Linked DNA regions of Saccharomyces cerevisiae S288C. Changing the gene in region 3 together with the main gene of any one other region gives a genetic interaction. Each region holds a gene or a part of one and is shown on either strand. Other genes may lie near its edges.

What was found.
Region 1: mutations in SPE2 (region 3) and RLI1 together harm fitness more than expected from each alone (negative genetic interaction), as found in Saccharomyces cerevisiae (2 studies listed by BioGRID).
Region 2: mutations in SPE2 (region 3) and YIR016W together harm fitness more than expected from each alone (negative genetic interaction), as found in Saccharomyces cerevisiae (2 studies listed by BioGRID).
Region 4: mutations in SPE2 (region 3) and ETR1 together harm fitness more than expected from each alone (negative genetic interaction), as found in Saccharomyces cerevisiae (2 studies listed by BioGRID).

Annotation. Positions count from the first base shown.
Region 1 is NC_001136.10:625,035-630,716, reverse strand, and holds RLI1 (Fe-S cluster-binding ribosome biosynthesis protein), read left to right. Parts: upstream 1-2,182; coding exon 2,183-4,009; downstream 4,010-5,682. Other genes in the region: E2 ubiquitin-conjugating protein UBC13, read right to left, coding at 112-543, 812-841; ILT1 (Ilt1p), read left to right, coding at 4,719-5,651. UniProt on the Saccharomyces cerevisiae protein: Component of the multifactor complex (MFC) involved in translation initiation. Required for the binding of MFC to the 40S ribosome. Required for the processing and nuclear export of the 60S and 40S ribosomal subunits.
Region 2 is NC_001141.2:380,816-385,529, reverse strand, and holds YIR016W (uncharacterized protein), read right to left. Parts: upstream 2,903-4,714; coding exon 2,105-2,902; downstream 1-2,104. Other genes in the region: YAP5 (Yap5p), read right to left, coding at 184-921; MET28 (Met28p), read left to right, coding at 1,411-1,974; ribonuclease P protein subunit RPR2, read right to left, coding at 3,148-3,582; VLD1 (Vld1p), read right to left, coding at 3,716-4,444.
Region 3 is NC_001147.6:230,342-235,536, reverse strand, and holds SPE2 (adenosylmethionine decarboxylase SPE2), read left to right. Parts: upstream 1-1,900; coding exon 1,901-3,091; downstream 3,092-5,195. Other genes in the region: GAL11 (Gal11p), read right to left, coding at 1-597; DDR2 (Ddr2p), read left to right, coding at 3,782-3,967; AIM39 (Aim39p), read right to left, coding at 4,265-5,195.
Region 4 is NC_001134.8:291,579-296,418, reverse strand, and holds ETR1 (enoyl-[acyl-carrier-protein] reductase), read left to right. Parts: upstream 1-2,399; coding exon 2,400-3,542; downstream 3,543-4,840. Other genes in the region: CDS1 (phosphatidate cytidylyltransferase), read left to right, coding at 1-50; putative protein kinase YPK3, read left to right, coding at 417-1,994; YBR027C (uncharacterized protein), read left to right, coding at 2,063-2,395; OLA1 (Obg-like ATPase), read left to right, coding at 4,554-4,840. UniProt on the Saccharomyces cerevisiae protein: Catalyzes the NADPH-dependent reduction of trans-2-enoyl thioesters in mitochondrial fatty acid synthesis (fatty acid synthesis type II).

The DNA.
Region 1 (5,682 bases), on a different chromosome or scaffold from region 3:
GACCATCTATGGTTTTTGCATTTATCGTAAATTTTTTTTTTTTTGCAGCAGCAGCAGCATAGTAATGATATATATTTATATATTCAGTTGAGAAAACTTATACAGAAATGATCACTCGGGTTTCTTCTTTGCATACAATTTCGTCCATTCGCGAGCCTTAGCTTTGGCACCTTGCTCATTCTTTATCCAATCTTCAGCGACGTCATTAGCTAGCGGATCATTAGGATTAGGGCTAGCCAACAGTGCTTGAATGGACAGCAGGACGGTTCTGATCTGTAAAGCGGGTGACCAATTAGTTTTAAGCACATCAAGACATATACGGCCCAACCTATCAATATTGGGATGATATATCTTGGTTAAAAAACGTACTTTCGGTGCTTCCATTGGATAGTCGTCAGGCAGATATAATTCTAATTCGAAAATACCGTCTTCATATGGTGACTGTTCTGGGCCTTCGATTGTTACTTGGAAGTAACGTAAGTTGTCGTCATGTGGTTCTGCTGTAATGCCAGGTACTGGGTCACTTACTAATTTCTCAGTTTCCTATATGAAAGTTCACAAAGACTTTGCGTTTTCTGCCCTAGTAGTTTGTTCTGTTGAATTCCCTCCATATGAGCGTTTGCGGATATGGACAAAGGGAAGGCGGAACGCTGCTACAAACTGGACAAAAAAAGCCTTCTTGTTTTGGAAGTTTTGCGTTAGTATGTAAGTTCTAGCCATTATCAAGAGGAAACAGTGTAGAGTGTGACGGCTCAGACGAAAACGTCACTTCAGATTTCGTATATAATCCACTGCTCTTGTTTGAACATACCTTGATTATTCTCTTGGGTAATGATGCCATTTCTAACTATGTTACAATGAACCTGACCTTATTTGCTAATATTGGAAAAAAAAAGAACAGAAGAGTGTAAAGTACTATTCTCTATAGAGGTGTTTTGGTTCGTGGTGGCGCGCCATCTTTCAATGAATCACTTATCCTTTGTTTTAAAAACACCATAATTTCGGGTAACAATACGGATGCGGCATAATTAACTGAACTATTCTCTTTGATGGTTTAAAGGAAAACAAATTCCTGTTAGATGCCCATTATATTTGTTCACATGTAGAGAAGGCAAAGAAAAAACTGCTTATTGTACTTTGGTAATTTTTTAAATGATATTTAAAACGTTAGTATTTTCTGTTCCCGCGGCTCCCGCAGAATCTAATCATTAAGCTTGACTAGTATCAAGCTTTTTTCCTTCTTGTTCTGCATTCAAGTATTTGTTGGTAGTATTTCTAGACATCGAAAAGCTTTTTTAGCCCAGAAAAAAAGAGATGAAACGCTTAAATATCTCAAAATTAACATGAATTTATATTCTGTAAAAAAAGTATCGTCGCAAAATGAGAAATTAATGTTTAGCGATCTAATAGTGATCTTGAATATTTGACTACTTTGTTTGGATAACTTTTTCAGCATTGTCAGCATGCCCAAGAATAACGATTATTTTGCATCCAGATAAATGCTTCCAAGAACCTTTACTAGTTTTGTTTCTTGGTTTTTTATCGTCTAAATAAAAAAAGACGTCCTTGTTAAATTTCTCCCCAGTTGAAAAAAAATGTCTTGTGGCCTATCATGGTTTACTACAAACTGAATTGGAAAAGGATTTTCCTAATAGTTTGATGTCATGTAAAACGCCCTCGTATCTGCAACGGAAATACACAAATAAAGAAATATCAAATTAGCCGCCGACGTGTCATTTTCGTCGTTGTTGATGATCAAATTATCACAGTAAAAAATAGTACGGAATAGCGTACTTGAAAGGAGCATCGTTTAAAACACCGCGGAGGATAAGAAAGAGCCGGTCATTAGCATCCTACCCTTCACATAGTAAAGACTGAACATGACTATACGCTGCTTCAGTCACCTGTTCATAAGCAAATACCATGGATAGAAAAACAATCTCTTGTTACTCGTGTGCATCGAACCAGATTTCTAGCCGGGTAGTTTTGCAACTGAAAAAATTTTCTATTTTTTTTCTCAATCGCATCGCTCGCTAGCAAAGTGAAAGTGAAAAAAAAAAAATGTAAAACTGGGCATTAACCTTTATTGTTTCTGTATTCTTAGATCTTCATTGTGATCTGTTTCAGCGCGAATTCCACCTAGCCTTCTGCAAAAGTTCTTAAGAAAACACGACAGACCATAATGAGTGATAAAAACAGTCGTATCGCTATCGTTAGCGCTGATAAATGTAAACCAAAAAAGTGTCGTCAAGAGTGTAAACGTTCGTGTCCCGTTGTGAAAACTGGTAAATTATGTATTGAAGTCACTCCAACTTCAAAAATCGCATTCATTTCCGAAATCTTGTGTATTGGTTGTGGTATTTGCGTTAAGAAATGTCCATTTGATGCTATTCAAATTATCAATTTGCCAACTAATTTAGAAGCCCATGTAACTCACCGTTACTCTGCCAATAGTTTCAAACTGCACAGATTGCCAACACCAAGACCGGGTCAAGTCCTTGGTTTAGTCGGTACCAACGGTATTGGTAAGTCTACCGCCTTGAAAATCTTAGCCGGTAAACAAAAACCTAATTTAGGTCGTTTTGATGATCCTCCTGAATGGCAGGAAATTATTAAATATTTCCGTGGTTCTGAATTACAAAATTACTTCACCAAGATGCTGGAAGATGATATCAAGGCTATAATCAAACCTCAATATGTTGATAACATTCCTCGTGCTATTAAAGGTCCGGTTCAAAAAGTTGGCGAACTTTTGAAATTGAGAATGGAAAAAAGTCCTGAAGATGTGAAACGCTACATCAAAATTTTACAGTTGGAAAACGTTTTGAAAAGAGATATTGAAAAGTTATCTGGTGGTGAACTGCAAAGATTTGCCATTGGTATGTCATGTGTTCAAGAGGCTGATGTTTATATGTTCGATGAACCTTCATCTTATTTGGATGTTAAGCAACGTTTGAATGCCGCTCAAATTATTAGATCTTTACTAGCTCCAACTAAATACGTTATTTGTGTTGAGCACGATTTGTCAGTTTTGGATTATCTTTCCGATTTCGTTTGTATCATATATGGTGTTCCATCTGTTTACGGTGTTGTTACATTACCAGCCTCTGTCAGAGAAGGTATCAACATATTCTTGGACGGTCATATTCCTGCTGAAAACCTGAGATTCAGAACTGAAGCTTTACAATTTAGAATAGCTGATGCTACCGAAGACTTGCAGAATGACTCTGCTAGTCGCGCCTTCTCTTACCCAAGTTTGAAGAAAACTCAAGGTGATTTTGTTTTGAATGTTGAAGAAGGTGAATTCTCCGATTCCGAAATCCTTGTTATGATGGGTGAAAACGGTACCGGTAAGACCACTTTGATCAAATTACTAGCTGGTGCTTTGAAGCCAGATGAAGGACAAGATATTCCAAAATTGAATGTTTCTATGAAACCACAAAAAATTGCACCAAAGTTCCCAGGTACTGTCAGACAATTGTTTTTCAAGAAAATTAGAGGACAATTCCTAAATCCACAGTTTCAGACTGATGTCGTTAAACCTTTAAGGATTGACGATATTATTGATCAAGAAGTCCAACATTTGTCTGGTGGTGAATTACAAAGAGTCGCCATCGTCTTGGCATTGGGTATCCCAGCAGACATATACTTGATTGATGAGCCATCTGCCTACTTAGATTCCGAACAACGTATTATCTGTTCTAAAGTTATCAGAAGATTCATCTTACATAATAAGAAAACTGCGTTTATTGTCGAGCACGATTTCATCATGGCTACTTATCTTGCTGATAAGGTCATTGTTTTTGAAGGTATTCCTTCCAAGAATGCTCACGCAAGAGCCCCTGAATCTTTGTTGACTGGTTGTAACAGATTTTTGAAGAATTTGAATGTCACCTTCAGAAGGGATCCAAACTCCTTCAGACCAAGAATTAATAAGCTAGATTCCCAAATGGATAAAGAACAAAAATCATCAGGAAACTACTTTTTCTTGGATAACACCGGTATTTAAGCATCTTGGGATTCGGAGAACCAAGAGGACGATTGTTTTATTTTTGGGTTTAGAAATGTGGAGAAATAATTAAGAGTTATAATGTTTTTGCAAAACAAAATGAGTATTATATTACATTGAGTTCCTTCCCAAGCATCGGGTTGTTTATTTCTAGATATACGCCAACTAATACATTTCTAACTTCCCACCTTCATTACATCATAACCTGAAAGTGAACAACCTCCTCTTCGGTGATCCGTACTCCAGTTTATTTCATTTTTCTGTAAAGCAACTACACTATATTTATTCTCTATTTATTTTATATACCTATTGTATTTTAATTAATCGTTATTTTGTCCGCACCTTCTTCGTAATCGAATTTACCTTGTAAACGAGTCGTCATGATAAGCATTTGCTGCATTACTGAACGTTTATCTTAGCATGACATTAAAGTCCGTTTGTCTAAAATATCACCCAATTATTTCCGCGGTGTGAGCGCCAGATAAGGTGCTTCGGGTAATATGAGAACGCCGTTTCTTGATAGCATTTTTCAATGACTAGATAGGTAGATTACCTCTGTATCACACTTCTCGTACCAAACGAAACTCATATAAATAATGCTTTCCTTCTGGTGCCTTCTACTTTCCGCTGATCTCTATTTTCAAATTAACCGCTGAAATATAAACTGTGGAATACTATAACATAACATAGATTTAAGAATAAGGTATTCATGATCTCTGAAAAGGCTGCTACCGCTTTAGCTACTATAGCAACAGTTTGCTGGTGTGTCCAGCTAATTCCGCAAATAATATATAATTGGAAAAAAAAGGACTGTACGGGGCTGCCACCACTGATGATGTTCCTCTGGGTTGTTTCCGGAATTCCATTTGCCATATATTTCTGTGTTAGTAAAGGTAATGTCATTTTACAAGTTCAACCACACCTTTTTATGTTCTTCTGTTCTATAAGTTTCGTCCAATCGTGTTATTATCCACCAATCAGTATGGCGAGATCCAAAATAGTAATGATTGTAGCTGCTATTATTGCGGCTGATGTTGGCATGGAAGTTGGCTTTATATTATGGCTGAGGCCCCTTTACGAGAAGGGTGTTAAATGGCCCGATCTGATTTTTGGTATTTCTGCATCTGTTTTGTTAGCTGTCGGACTGCTTCCACCTTACTTTGAACTAGCCAAAAGGAAAGGTCGTGTTATTGGCATCAACTTTGCCTTCTTATTCATCGATTCATTAGGTGCTTGGCTATCTATCATCAGTGTTATCCTAGGTAATATGGATATTATGGGTATTATATTATACTCAATAGTTGCTGGAATGGAGTTAGGAATTTTCGCGTCTCATTTCATATGGTGGTGTAGGTTTAGATTCCTAGCTAAAGGCAATACTTTTGACGAAGAAAGTGGCCAAGCTCAAAAGGAAGAACCCGATGAAAAAATCGAACAAGATATTAGCAAGAGTGACCGAAATGTTACTAACTATAACCTGGATAACTGTTCAATCCCCGACGATGCTTCGAGCTTTGCAGACGATTTTAATATATACGATAGTACTGATGGGGGGACGTTATCAAGAGCCCAAACATTGCATGCTGTCCATGGAGTTGTGGTTAGAACAGATCCTGATCGTTATTCGAGGCTAAGTGTGTAACGAATCTGAGTCCTTTTTAGTTAGCACGTTT
Region 2 (4,714 bases), on a different chromosome or scaffold from region 3:
GGGGTGTCCAAAACGCTTTTGCACTCTGCGGCCAATGTCCATGAACTAATTCTTTACACATAACCACAGTAATAAACTTGCAAAGAAAAAAGCAATGTCACTCCTTTCATGTGCGTTCTTTTGACGTTACAAAAGTTGAGCTGTTCAATGACGTATTTATAAGTATTAAGAAGTTCTCTCTCTTCAGTGGATGATGGACCGGATGTCGATACATGATTTGTCGATATTAGTACAATTACTACAGAGCCCATTGGGGTTATCTTTATTATTGCACTCTGCATGTGGCATCGACATATCCTTCTGTTCTGTGGCCACACCGTCGTCACTTTTACGGTGATCTGTTTCCAGTTCTTTACAAACGCAAGTAGTGTTGTCGTTACAAAAGCCGCATTTGACAGAGCTAGGCAGTTCTGTCGAGTGCTGGTGGCGCTTGATAGCGGTATTGTACTTAATAGGTATCGCCTTCATTGGTTTGAAATTCTCGATCAAATTCTGCAGGATAGGGTCCTGAGCAGGCACAGAGGCTTGTTTCAGAGTAAGGGTCTCCAATTTCTGTTTAAGGGCATGATTTTCCGATTCTTTCGCTTGAAGTTCATTTTGGAGGCGGTTTAGTTTCGTTTCGTAGTTTTTAACGACCTTACTCAGTGACTCTATGGTTTCCTCCAGCACTTGCAACTTGTTGTTTTTGCGTTCTCTGTAGGCCCTTTGGGCGTCTCTATTCTGCCGTTTTTTCTTCTGTAGCTCCTCATCATTTTCTTCAGTTTCGTAATCTTCGTGAAGTCGATGAACTCTTTTCCTCCGCTGAGCTGCTCTATGGGGCAACCTTGGAGGCAGTTTCCAATTTTTGGACACGTGGATCTTGGACAAAAGAGCGAGGTGGCTTTCCTCAGACTCCTTAGGTTTTATCAGAGGTAGAGCCATGACTGTGATAATATGCTAGTTACACTGTTTATGTTGTGTGAACTTGTTGTAATATGGTTAACTTCACTTTCAGTGATTGATATGATAGCGACATCACTGCCGTGCAAAAAGACCATTCCATTACTGCACCTTTTTGTCCTTTTCCGTGGAATAAAAGTTCACTCGTCAGTTCCATGCATTCTGGAAAAAAATGATCTGAAAGATGCCACAGTTGTGGGGCCCGCCCGGCCCAATAGGTAAACTAAAATACAATAGAAGGGGTACTGAGTGCACGTGACTTATTTTTTTTTTTTGGTTTTAGGTTTCGCTTTTTTCACCTTTTTCTACTTTCTAACACCACAGTTTTGGGCGGGAAGCGGAAACGCCATAGTTGTAGGTCACTGGCGTGAGTCAAGGCCGGGCAGCCAATGACTAAGAACACGAGGTAACTTGAATTTAACTATTTATAACCAGTGGTAGTTACGAAGACAAATTGTTTTGTTCGTCAATATGAGTGCGAAACAAGGGTGGGAAAAGAAATCAACAAACATTGACATTGCAAGCAGGAAGGGTATGAACGTGAACAATCTTTCGGAACATCTACAGAACCTGATATCAAGCGATTCAGAGCTGGGCTCGCGCTTGCTATCATTGCTGCTGGTTAGCAGTGGCAACGCGGAGGAGCTCATTAGCATGATAAATAATGGCCAGGATGTCTCGCAGTTTAAGAAGCTCCGCGAGCCGAGAAAGGGGAAGGTTGCCGCAACAACAGCAGTTGTTGTAAAAGAAGAGGAAGCTCCCGTGAGCACTTCTAACGAACTGGATAAGATTAAGCAAGAGCGGAGAAGAAAGAACACAGAGGCGTCGCAGCGGTTCCGCATTCGCAAGAAACAAAAGAATTTTGAGAACATGAATAAGCTGCAGAACTTAAACACGCAAATCAACAAACTTCGCGATCGTATAGAGCAATTGAACAAGGAAAATGAGTTTTGGAAAGCAAAGCTCAATGACATTAACGAGATTAAGTCTTTGAAATTGTTGAATGACATTAAGAGACGGAACATGGGCAGGTAGCCCGCGAAACGTGCGGGCCTGATGTCTTGTTTTTCCTCTCCAACTTCGATTTTTCGATTTTTCCGTTTCTTTACCTAGCATATATATACACACATCTATCTACATATAAATATATATATATGTATATTTATTATTTATAGCATTGCGCGTGAGACAAAAGCGAGATCTTTTCGTCCCACTCCGCATTGATCAAGGACCGTTTATATTCCACAGACTCTATCTCGCTGGGAGAGCACCATCCTATAGTACGAAAGTTTGTAATAACTCGAGCGTACTGAGCGTCTTCCAGTTGTTGTTGGCGGCGTAAAGACTGCGCGGCTGCAGATGTGACGATAAATCTCTCGGAATCTGGGCGGCTAGCGGGACATACTGAATGCGTATGTTTGTCTCTGGGCATACTGTTCCTTCGAAAGAAAATACTCGAGGCTTTGGCAAGAAAACTGAGTTTTTCTTGTTCTGCCGGAACGCTAAGGCTTCCAGTTATGTCTTCGCGGCCAGATTTTCCTTGGTGTAAGATTGCAGATATTGCGCTCACAGAACTACGGTGCCGCCGACTTTGAACGCGCGGGCTGGACGATGATGACGATGACATATCTAGAGCCTTGGATAGGTCTCGCGACATGGAACTGTCGTCGTCGTCTTCATCATCGTCGTCGTCGTCGTTCCTTGAGGCGTCTTCGACTAATGACGGAGCATGGATGGCGCCTGCGCCATCTCGCGATAGTGTCATGTACTTGTGAAAAGCCGCCGAATCGTCATCCACATCATCATGTGGACCGAGCAACGAGGGCAGCAGACCATCTATAGAACTTCCTCGCGAACACGGTCCTGGCTCTACACCTGGTCCTTGTTCATCATGAGTCAAAGTTTCCGTAGCAGTCACATCAACTGGTAGTCCGACGCCTAGCAAACACCTCGTGCCACTCATTACCGACCACAACACCTCCTTGCGGTGTTTATCCGCTATGCTGGCAAGACGGAATCCTACATTACCTTCTTCAAACGGGCGTCTCGTTTTTTTCCCTGTGTTTTATGTCGTAGTTTTCCCTCAAAATACAGGCACGTACCCCATGTATAGGGGCAAGGGGGTGGGGGGTCGGCTCTTAAAGAAAATCTGGAAACTCCGCATTTTTGTCCTGCTCAAAACATTGGTCCAAAACCCTACCAATAACCCTAAGAATTTAGTAGATTACCCTCCCGCTCCGAGTAGGTCCTGTAATTAGGATCGGCGCCAATATTAAAACGTTTAACGGTACCGCACCCACACATTACCGAAAGCGCTCCGTCGGATGTGATTTCCAGTTTTTTTGGGGTCCATAACAACCGATGGCATTTTTTACAAATTGTTCTCTTTATCGTAGGAAGCAGTGATGTCTTGGTTTTCTTACTAATTAGGTCCATTGATTTGATATAATTGCGTGCCAAAGGCGTATGTGCGTCTGTTCTTGCTTTCTGTCTTGCTCTTGTTTGGTAAGCGGATATTTGGTAGAGGTAGTTTAATCTATGGAAATGGTCCTGGTTCGCAATCGTCCTTGGTGGCGGTACTAGCAGAGTACCATTTTCGTCGATCTCAGGTTTCATCTTTCCTCCGTGTGCTTTCTTGCCCATCTTTTTGCTTGTCTTTTCTCTGTCGGCGATGTGGGAAGGACAGTAGAAGAACCACGTATTGTTTTATTTTCTGTTCATCTTTTTTTTCCGTTCTTTTCATTTTGGTAATTTTTTTTCTTTTCCTTTCTTGAATTTATTCGGCGATATTCAGTAGAGGAGTGATCTCTGTAGCGTCATCCCCGTCTGCCTGTTGAGGAATCGACTTGTCATGATTCTTGAGTACTATGAGTTCCGGTCCGGTTGCATCCATGTGCCAGGTATTAAGTTTGAGAATGTTGAGTGCGCCCTCTTCTTCTGCATTCAACTCCTTGACAATAAGTTTCACGTTCTGAAGACTCGAGCTCAGTGAGCCGTTTATTATTACAATCTGGCAGAAAAGTAATAAAATATCGAGTAGTACCAGAAGTAGCTTGCTAGGAAACGCTGTGGGTACCGGACAAGTAAATTCCCTTATCAAAAGCATTATCACAAATCCGTACGGTTTGGAACATATGTCTCTCGATACGTCTAGCCTAATGTGGTATACTATACAGTACGCTGTTTCTAGAAGTATTAGGCCTTGGTAATATCGTATGGCTTTGTTTATTATCATTCTTACAATAGGTGTTTCTAACCCTCTGATGGCAAGACTTTCATCATCTTCCTGATCATTGTCGCGGCCCACCTCTAAATAGTTCTTCTTCAGGTACCTGAGTGTCAATTCCTGAATGAAATCACAGAGCGATGAAATTATCCACCCCAGGAGGATCAAGAATAATGATCCATCTTTGATAAACCTCAAGTACAGGCAGCAATAAACGAATTTCTGCAAATTCGCTATCACTGACCTTTGTCGTCCATTGTCATCTTCCAAATGCAACATTTCCTTCCGATGCCCTGCTCCTTTCCCTTTCTGTATTAGCTTGTCATCTAAGCCTTCGTCATTGAAGTATCCCTTCCCTTTCTTTCCCTGGAGAAAAGCCATATGAGAAGTTTATATTACCCGGTTTAAAGTTTGTTTTTTTTTTTTTTTCTACCACTAGAATGCTCTCTATAGTACCCATGATGCATTAGTTGAACACTAGCAGGTCAGGTTTTGTACCCTCCCGAATTATGGCTATCTCCTCAATTGCGATGACATTGTCAATATGAA
Region 3 (5,195 bases):
GACCTGCTGCCAGGTGTTGATATTGGGTGGAATGTTAGGAATTCTTTGCAGTAATTGTTTGGGAATAGGTGCCACTTTCATCTGGTTCACTAATTGTTGTTGTTGAGGAGTCAATTGACGCCTCTGTTGCTGCTGCTGCTGTTGTTGTTGTTGTTGTTGATTTCTTAATTGTTGCGCAACCTGTTGCCTTGCCTGAGCCTGCTGATTCAAGAACATCTGTGGGTTTAGATTCATATTGACATTCATATTATTGGCGCTGTTGCCAGAATTTTTCAAGTTGTTAATATGGTGCTGTTCCACGGGTTTAATGTTGTTATTAGCGGCAGCAGCAGTAACGGCGTTTTTCCTCGTATTGTACGTGTTGCGCATGACAGCAACTTTTTCGTTCATGCTGTCCATGTATTCTTTCTTTGAAGAGCTCTTTGCGAACAAAGCTGCCTCGAAGTTTTTGGCATGAATTCTTATCTTATCAGCAGTGTCGGAGCTCCCTCCGTTCAGAGTGTTAATGTCCATGAGCACCTGAAGCAACCCGTTGACGTTCTTCGCACGCTCGGCATTGGACAGAGTGTCTTTGTCTTGGACAGGAGCAGCAGACATAGCAGATTTAAAAGAAATAGCGTTTTAATCCTTGATCTTTGAGTACGGCACTATACGAAACGATACGCTTATAAAAATGGGGTTTAACTAACAAAGAAAAATATACCAGCACAAGTATATAGCAATGTCGTGGAAGTACTTCTTTGTGGAACCAGCTGTTTCCAGAGACAAATTCCTAGTCCTTGTGAATGGTTGACTATTAAAAGTTTGACTGTAAAGGTTAAGCACCTTCATCATCCTCATCCATAATATAATTTTCTGATCGACGCAACCGGGGCCGGGGTGGAAGGAAGGCCCGATTCGAAATAAAAAAGAGGCCGCCACAATGTAGGGTAATGCCTAATTATATTAACTAGAGACTGACTGAATCATATTACTTAGTTACTACTACTCTTATCATGCAAGAAGATGTGAAAAAGCGTCTTCCCCCAAATCATATAACTTCTGCACCATCCGTGGACTGTACAGGTTCAGCGGGGGAATATGTAATTGCTTGTTAGGATTGCTCTTGGGACCGTAGTATCGCGACAAGGAAGTCTGTGTAGTTCCACTTGATGTGGGCTGCCTCGCCGCTTCTTTTGCAGTCCCTAACCTTATATAGATGCGCACGCGCCAAAGCATGAGGGTACTCCATCATGTCTGTTGCACAAATATCGTAGGTTACTTGACGCTAACGTCATGTTTGATGCTCCGTTAACGAAGAGAATCGGAGCTCTTCATCTTAATCAGGCTCTTTTATAGCTCAATCATCAGTGGAAAAAATTCTTCGAACTAGAAAAAAATCAAGAAGTGAAAAAACTAAAACCGCCAACTGGCTACCCGGATAAGCCCCATAATGGCGTTCCTAGGGCTAGAAGAATTTCAAATCGATGACAGCTGATAGAAAGCGCCAGAGATATGTAGCCTTCCATCAGTAGTAATATCCAATAAATTGGGCACCATGGTTTGGCAATCAGGCTTTTTACCCTCGCCCTCTTTTCCTTCGCCTTTTACCTCTTCTGCATCCAATTTCAGCGTACGTACACAATGATTGACTTTGGAAATTTTCACTTTTTTCCACTCGAAGAAAAAAAATTCCAAACACGGTTCTCCGGTATTTAGGCATCGAATAAACTTTGCTAATCGACTAAAAGCATCTCTGCATATCTATACGTGTATATATTGTATTCGCTACAGCTCGCTCCTTGCATCAACTCTTTTTTTCTTTTTTTTCTTCCAGGTTAATCAATTACTGTACTGTAGCTTCTTTTTTATATTTTTTAGGTTTTCATATAGTGTCTTACGCAAATAGGCGGACCATAGAATGACTGTCACCATAAAAGAATTGACTAACCACAACTACATTGACCACGAACTATCAGCCACTTTAGACTCAACGGATGCGTTCGAGGGTCCCGAGAAGTTGCTGGAAATCTGGTTCTTCCCTCACAAGAAGTCCATCACGACCGAAAAGACATTAAGAAATATTGGCATGGATAGATGGATCGAGATTTTGAAATTAGTGAAATGCGAAGTTCTTTCCATGAAGAAGACTAAAGAACTGGATGCCTTTTTGTTGAGTGAGTCTTCCCTCTTCGTCTTCGATCACAAATTGACGATGAAGACGTGCGGTACTACAACCACATTGTTCTGTCTCGAAAAGCTTTTCCAGATCGTTGAGCAAGAGTTATCGTGGGCTTTCCGCACAACACAAGGGGGCAAGTACAAACCATTTAAAGTGTTTTATTCTAGACGATGTTTCCTTTTCCCCTGTAAGCAAGCCGCTATCCATCAAAACTGGGCTGACGAAGTCGACTATTTGAACAAATTTTTCGACAATGGTAAAAGTTATTCCGTGGGAAGAAATGACAAGAGCAACCACTGGAACCTGTACGTCACCGAGACGGACCGCTCCACACCTAAGGGAAAGGAGTACATCGAGGATGACGACGAAACTTTCGAAGTACTGATGACGGAGCTGGACCCAGAATGCGCTAGTAAGTTTGTTTGCGGGCCTGAGGCATCCACAACCGCTCTCGTGGAGCCAAACGAAGATAAGGGCCACAACCTCGGCTACCAAATGACTAAAAATACAAGGCTTGACGAAATATATGTCAACTCGGCCCAAGACTCCGATTTATCATTTCACCACGATGCATTTGCGTTCACGCCATGTGGATACTCATCCAATATGATTCTCGCTGAAAAATACTATTACACCCTGCACGTGACTCCGGAAAAGGGTTGGTCTTACGCCTCTTTCGAAAGTAACATACCCGTATTTGACATTTCCCAAGGGAAGCAAGACAACTTGGACGTTCTTCTACATATTCTGAACGTTTTTCAACCAAGAGAGTTCTCGATGACCTTTTTTACCAAAAATTATCAGAACCAATCCTTCCAAAAACTACTAAGCATCAACGAGTCACTGCCCGACTACATCAAGTTAGACAAAATTGTTTATGATCTGGACGACTACCACCTTTTCTATATGAAATTGCAGAAGAAAATATGAAAAGCCGCCATTTGTGTCTCCTCATACTTACATAGAATAGCCCTCTTCTATTATCCTTCGCTTGCTTTCTAGCACTCATAACTAATGTAGTTTAACCCGCTTGTATATCTTCTACATCATTACCCCGCATGCTTTTTTTTTTCCTCTAGAGAAAACCGGCACAGATTGGCCGGACCCGGAACAGGAAAAATGGCCACTGAAAATTCCTGGCCAGACCACCCCTGAGCTAAGGGAGTTTAGCCGCTCAAGCTTTTATTTCCTCTGATGTAATATATCACACACCCAGACACGGTTGCCAAGGCCTCGACGGAAGGCCGCTTCAAGGGACGGGGCAGTGGCTATCAGAAATACCTTAATATCATCAATATTTTTCATCAATCGCAAGGTGTCAAACATCAATAAAGGATGATGCTCAAAGGTTTATGCCCGATGTTCTTCTAATCCCCTTTCTCTCCTAAAATAATCCTTTTTTTACTCTTCTTCTTTTCCCCTGTTTCCATTTTTGTCTTTTCTCACCCCTTATGGGACATCAATAATGCAAGTATGTTTATACATTTTTATATAAATGTATATATAAATGCCATTTCTTACACATAACCTCCATTCTTTGGTTAATTCTTTCTTCATTCTTTTTTTTTTCATTCTGAAAAGCCCTCCAAGCAAGCACGCTAATTTAATATCGATTTAAACATGAAAGTATCACAAGTTTTCATTTCTGCCATCTCTGTCTTCGGCCTCGCTACTAGCGTAAATGCTCAAAACGCATCCAACACCACGAGTAACGCTGCTCCTGCTTTGCACGCTCAAAATGGTCAACTACTAAACGCCGGAGTCGTCGGTGCTGCTGTTGGTGGTGCTTTGGCCTTTTTGATTTAGGAAAAACGCCGCTTACTGCCACGATGATGATACCCTATTGACGTTTCTGAAATGTATAATTTCTTTTCTCATCTTCCCCTTTGATATTCCATCTATAGGCCCCAGAGTAGTAAATTTGGTGCTTTAATTTTTTTTCTCTTCTTCCAGTTCGTCTCTATTTTTTCATTCCATTATATTTATTTATCAGTTTTACTTTCTCAAATATTCTTATATAACACTATTTCATCTACGTAACCGAAAATAAGTAGTTTAATAACGATAATAATCATAATTGTGATAAAAATATTTACATTTTTCTTACTTGTCGCCCGCTTCGTTTTTGTATAGAACGTACTGTATTAGTTGTCCGTTCTTTTCACGTCTGAAGAGGTCGATTTCTTGCAATTTAACATCAACGTGGTATTTTCCATTATATACAATCAAAGAATCATCGTCCAGTTCGATTTCGCCATGAAACCAAAGGTGTAATGCATGTGAGTCCCCCTGCAGTGGGTATTCGTACTTGAACGACCCGTATACCCTCTCCGGCGATATAATCTCAAATAAATCGGCTGTTTCCAAACCAATGCGGTTCAGTAAATCGTCGATGGTTCCCCGTATACTTATTGGCCGATGCGTTATCCTCCATTTGCAAACAAAGGGTATTCTATACCAAGTGTGCGAACTATCCCTTTTATCGTCTGGCTCCATTACAATACCAGTTACACATGGATCTTGATCTTCGCACCACATGCTGAATTCATTTAACGTGGGTGAATTGCCATCTTTATCAAGCAATGGTACTCCGTATTGTTCCTTGATCATGTCATGACCGGATAATATCTCTAAAACCCTTAATTTAGAAAGCTTCTGTACTTGGTTTACGTCAACCTTTTTCAAATCTCTGGTACTCAGTTTACGTATCTTGGATGATGGAAACAATGGTAAGAAACTTTGTTCCTTTAAATATATCACTCTATAGATTAGTGAGTATCCTAATATCACACCGAATATACCACCAAATATGGCGGACCATATTTGCTTTCGGCGCTTGTTTCGCTGATGTGTTATTGCTTGACCAATGCTTCTCAAGTCCTCTCCTTTTATGTTAGGACTGTGTCCCTCTTCAATTTCCCCCAACTTCGTCTGTTGCTGTTGATGTGGCGTCGTAAAAAAATGCTTGCCATCATGGACATGCCTTTTCGACTCTGTCAATGAATTTCTTTTAGTTGTAATGCTTTTATTCAAG
Region 4 (4,840 bases), on a different chromosome or scaffold from region 3:
TGGCTGACATCTTTAATGTGACCAAGAAATCATTGACCAATCACTCTTGAATATAAAAAAGACCATATAAAAGTATATATGAGTGTATGAATAGTTTTTTTTTTTCAAACTTATGCACGCTATACTACTCTTTCCCTATTTAGTTTATGTAAATTATAAAATATGATATCAATTCTTTAACAAAATTTCTCGCTCGTTTTTATACTTATGACTATATGTAGGAAAATAAACGTGTTGCTCTGTCATGTTACTTCTAAAATATTGAGAGGAGAAAAAAAAAAAAAAAAAAAAAATTATAAACAAATGAAAAAAGGACGTACTGACTAATAGTAAGTAGATCTTTTACCTGGAAGGTGCCCTATGATAAGATTTTTCATCAACCAATCTAGCTGAGCATACTGTTGGCAGTAATTAGGATGATTTTCTCACTAGATGAAGAACTTCATCGTGTGTCACTAGATGATAAAAAGAATGACATTAAAGTAGATTATTCCTCGGCAATATACAATGATATCAATCATGAACAAGGCAGCTCCATCACATATGAGGAGAGTATAAATCACCTCTCGGTTCATTCAAATGCGATTCCGCTAAATGGCATGAGTCCTGCACATAGGATGAGAAGAAGGTCCTCAGCTTATTCCAAATTCCCTATTCTCACTCCACCAAATACGAGAAGATTTTCTATTACAGGTTCGGACGCAATGCGAACTAATACGAATAGACTATCCATAACACCTCAGGACATTATTTCCTCTAATATTGGAGAAAATGAATTATCAAGGAACCTGCACGATTTTAAGCCCGTGAGAGTCCTAGGCCAAGGTGCCTACGGTAAAGTTCTTCTTGTTAAGGACGTCAATACATCCAAGCTGTATGCTATGAAGCAATTACGGAAAGCAGAAATTTTAATTTCTCAAACAGCCACAGATTCCAAGAGAGAAGACGAAGATAAAAATGATGGTAATAACAACGATAATGACGATGGATTATCAAAGAGGCTTGAGAGAACATTTGCCGAACGGTCTATTCTATCTGAAATAGAACATCCAAACATTGTCAAGTTATTTTATTCTTTTCACGATAACTCAAAGTTATATTTACTGCTACAATATATCCCTGGCGGTGAACTATTTTACCACTTGAAGGAACACGGGACCCTAGATGAGACGACAGTTTCGTTTTACGCGGCAGAAATCAGCTGTGCCTTGAGATTTTTGCATACGAAAGGTGTTGTCTATAGAGATTTAAAACCTGAAAACTGTTTATTGAATCAACGTGGACATTTAGTATTGACAGATTTTGGTCTGAGTAAAAAAAGTGCTAATGATTCCGCGGTTGATGAGGAGGATCCAGAGAACGTCAATGCCCTATACTCGATTATCGGTACGCCTGAATACTGTGCGCCTGAAATATTATTAGGTAAAGCTTACAGTCAGAATTGTGATTGGTATTCTTTGGGATGTCTGTTGTATGACATGTTAGTAGGTAAGCCTCCATATACTGGTAGCAATCATAAGGTGATCATTAATAAGATTCAACAAAACAAGCAAGGCCCCAAAATTCCATTTTATCTGAGCGAGGGAATGAAAGATATATTAAACGCGCTGTTGAAGAAGGAAACTGCCAAAAGGTGGAATGTTGACAAATACTGGGCCAAAACCGGGGCTAATAATAAGCCTACTAAGTCTAAGAAGAAGAAATCAGGGGCTGCAAGAACTAGTCTTTTCACTGAACATTTTATCTTTAGAAAAATAGACTGGAAGTTATTAGAATCTGGACAATTGCAAAAAACCACTCTAGGCCCAATTGTTCCAGTTATTACGGATTTGGAACTAGCGGAAAATTTTGACACAGAATTTACTTCTATGTCATATGAGGAAACCTATACGGATAGCAAGCCGATTAATATCAATTCGGTGAGCAAGTCCCCGGATATGTTCAAGGGATTTAGTTATAAAGCAAGTGGTAGCTATTTGGAGAAGTACTTTTGAATTAAAAGTTAGATAGATTAAGAGAGAAGGCTCGGATCTGCACTGACTTACTTTTTTTTGTTTTTTTGATGTTTAAAGGATCTGTGTCACTGTATATACTTTGTTTTGCTTTAGGGTTACGAAACACATTTTTAATATATAATGTATGTAATAATATTAAAAACAACTGTATGGATAATACTTCTGGACCAATCGGTGATACCATCTTCCTTATTTATGGTATTATTATCATTATTGGACCCCGCCGGTGCTTTTTTTTTTACCTTAAAAGAGTGGTTCTCCTCCAAGGGACGCACGAGTGGTGTACCCAGGGGTTGTTTCCATGGCTAAAGAAATTGGAGATTACAAACGTACATTGTCATTTAAGAAGGTTCATAATCTGCCAATTACATTTGATATAACAAGATGCTTCCCACATTCAAACGTTACATGTCGTCCTCAGCTCATCAGATTCCCAAGCACTTCAAATCGCTCATCTATTCAACTCATGAAGTTGAGGATTGTACCAAGGTTTTGTCAGTGAAAAATTATACGCCTAAACAAGACTTATCTCAATCAATTGTGTTAAAAACTTTGGCCTTTCCCATAAACCCTTCGGATATCAATCAGTTGCAAGGAGTATACCCGTCTCGTCCAGAAAAGACATACGATTACTCCACAGATGAGCCAGCCGCTATCGCCGGTAATGAGGGTGTCTTTGAAGTTGTTTCTTTACCTTCGGGAAGTTCCAAGGGAGATTTGAAATTGGGTGACCGAGTTATCCCATTGCAGGCAAATCAAGGGACTTGGTCCAATTATAGAGTTTTCTCTAGTAGTTCTGATTTAATCAAGGTAAATGATTTGGATCTGTTTTCTGCGGCAACTGTATCTGTTAATGGTTGTACCGGTTTCCAATTAGTATCAGACTATATCGACTGGAACAGTAACGGTAATGAATGGATTATCCAAAATGCCGGTACATCTAGTGTATCAAAAATAGTTACGCAAGTAGCAAAAGCTAAAGGGATCAAAACATTAAGTGTTATACGTGACCGTGATAATTTTGATGAGGTAGCAAAAGTTTTGGAGGATAAGTATGGTGCTACGAAGGTTATTTCCGAATCGCAAAACAACGACAAGACTTTTGCCAAAGAAGTATTGTCCAAGATTTTGGGTGAAAATGCAAGGGTGAGGCTTGCCTTGAATTCTGTTGGAGGTAAATCCAGTGCATCAATAGCACGTAAGTTGGAAAATAATGCTTTGATGCTCACTTATGGAGGAATGTCAAAACAACCTGTAACTTTACCAACATCTCTACACATTTTCAAAGGCTTGACATCCAAAGGGTACTGGGTGACTGAAAAGAACAAAAAAAACCCCCAAAGCAAGATTGACACCATCAGTGATTTTATCAAAATGTATAATTATGGTCACATTATTTCACCAAGAGATGAAATTGAAACTCTTACCTGGAATACTAACACTACTACTGACGAACAGTTACTAGAACTAGTCAAAAAAGGTATAACTGGGAAGGGGAAGAAAAAAATGGTTGTTTTAGAATGGTAAGGGCCTTAGCATTGCTCAGAGTTAGACAACCACCAAAGATAGTATTCCTCTTTATGACATCGAGTATAGTTGCTATATAATATATACCAAGACATTAAAAAATATATGCCAGTGCTATCTTTGTAGGAGCTAATAAAAGGGGACGTCGACCCTTCAATGTATATATCGATCCTTTCACATTAGTCAGGACGAGATAATGAGCATGATGTATAAACAAACGGTAGTTAATACCAACGATAAGTTATACAACTACTGTACAATAAAAAAACATCACAATAGCAATACAGGAGTCCTATTCGCTACTTCAACTTGACAAGATCTACTAGATATAGAAATATCTAGCTTAATCAACAATTTTCCTCACTGATTGCTTCCTCCGAATGCCATTATTGGCTTTCTTGGTTCTTAAGCATGATATTACGTATAAATAGCCATTATATCAATTAGAACAAAAGATTACGTAAATGCAATTTTTCCTGAGAATGGCGTTCGAAGAAGGGCGCGTAACTCGTAGAAACCTAAGAATTCTCGTAGAGCGAAGTCTTCGGTAGGAAACGTAGTAGATTTGCAGAAGATACGCCTGTTAAACTGAAGAAAACAAATCTGAGTAGTTTCCCTTCTTTGGAGTTGAGCTTTACAACAAGTTCATATTGTTGGTGCCAATTTGCCTTGAGACAACTAAGGCAGAATGCAGTTGTTGCGTGTTACTTAATTCTCCGTATTGAATGACCACGCACAATTCCTAATTTTTTTTTTTTCTCGAAAATTCTTTTTTTTTTCACTGAAAAAATTTTTTCAAGGGCCATCCCAGCGATTTTATGACCCAAAAGGAAGGATGCAGTGAAAGTCAACTTACGTCTTCTCTCTCATACCTTTCGTTGCGAGAAATCGTATTTAGTAGTGTATTCAGTTGATAATTAGTACTAATTTTTTATTGCATTTTGCCTTTTTTAGCTTTTTGTGTTACTTCTAGTATCCGTAAAAACAATCAAATAAATAGCACTGTAAAACATGCCTCCAAAGAAGCAAGTCGAAGAAAAAAAGGTCTTATTGGGTCGTCCAGGTAATAACTTGAAAGCCGGTATTGTCGGTTTGGCCAATGTTGGTAAGTCTACCTTTTTCCAAGCCATCACTAGATGTCCATTGGGTAACCCAGCTAACTATCCATTCGCTACCATTGATCCAGAAGAAGCCCGTGTTATTGTCCCATCTCCAAGATTTGATAAGTTGTGTGAAATCTACAAGAAGACAGCTTCGGAAGTTCCAGCTCATTTGACCGTTTACGATATTGCTGGTTT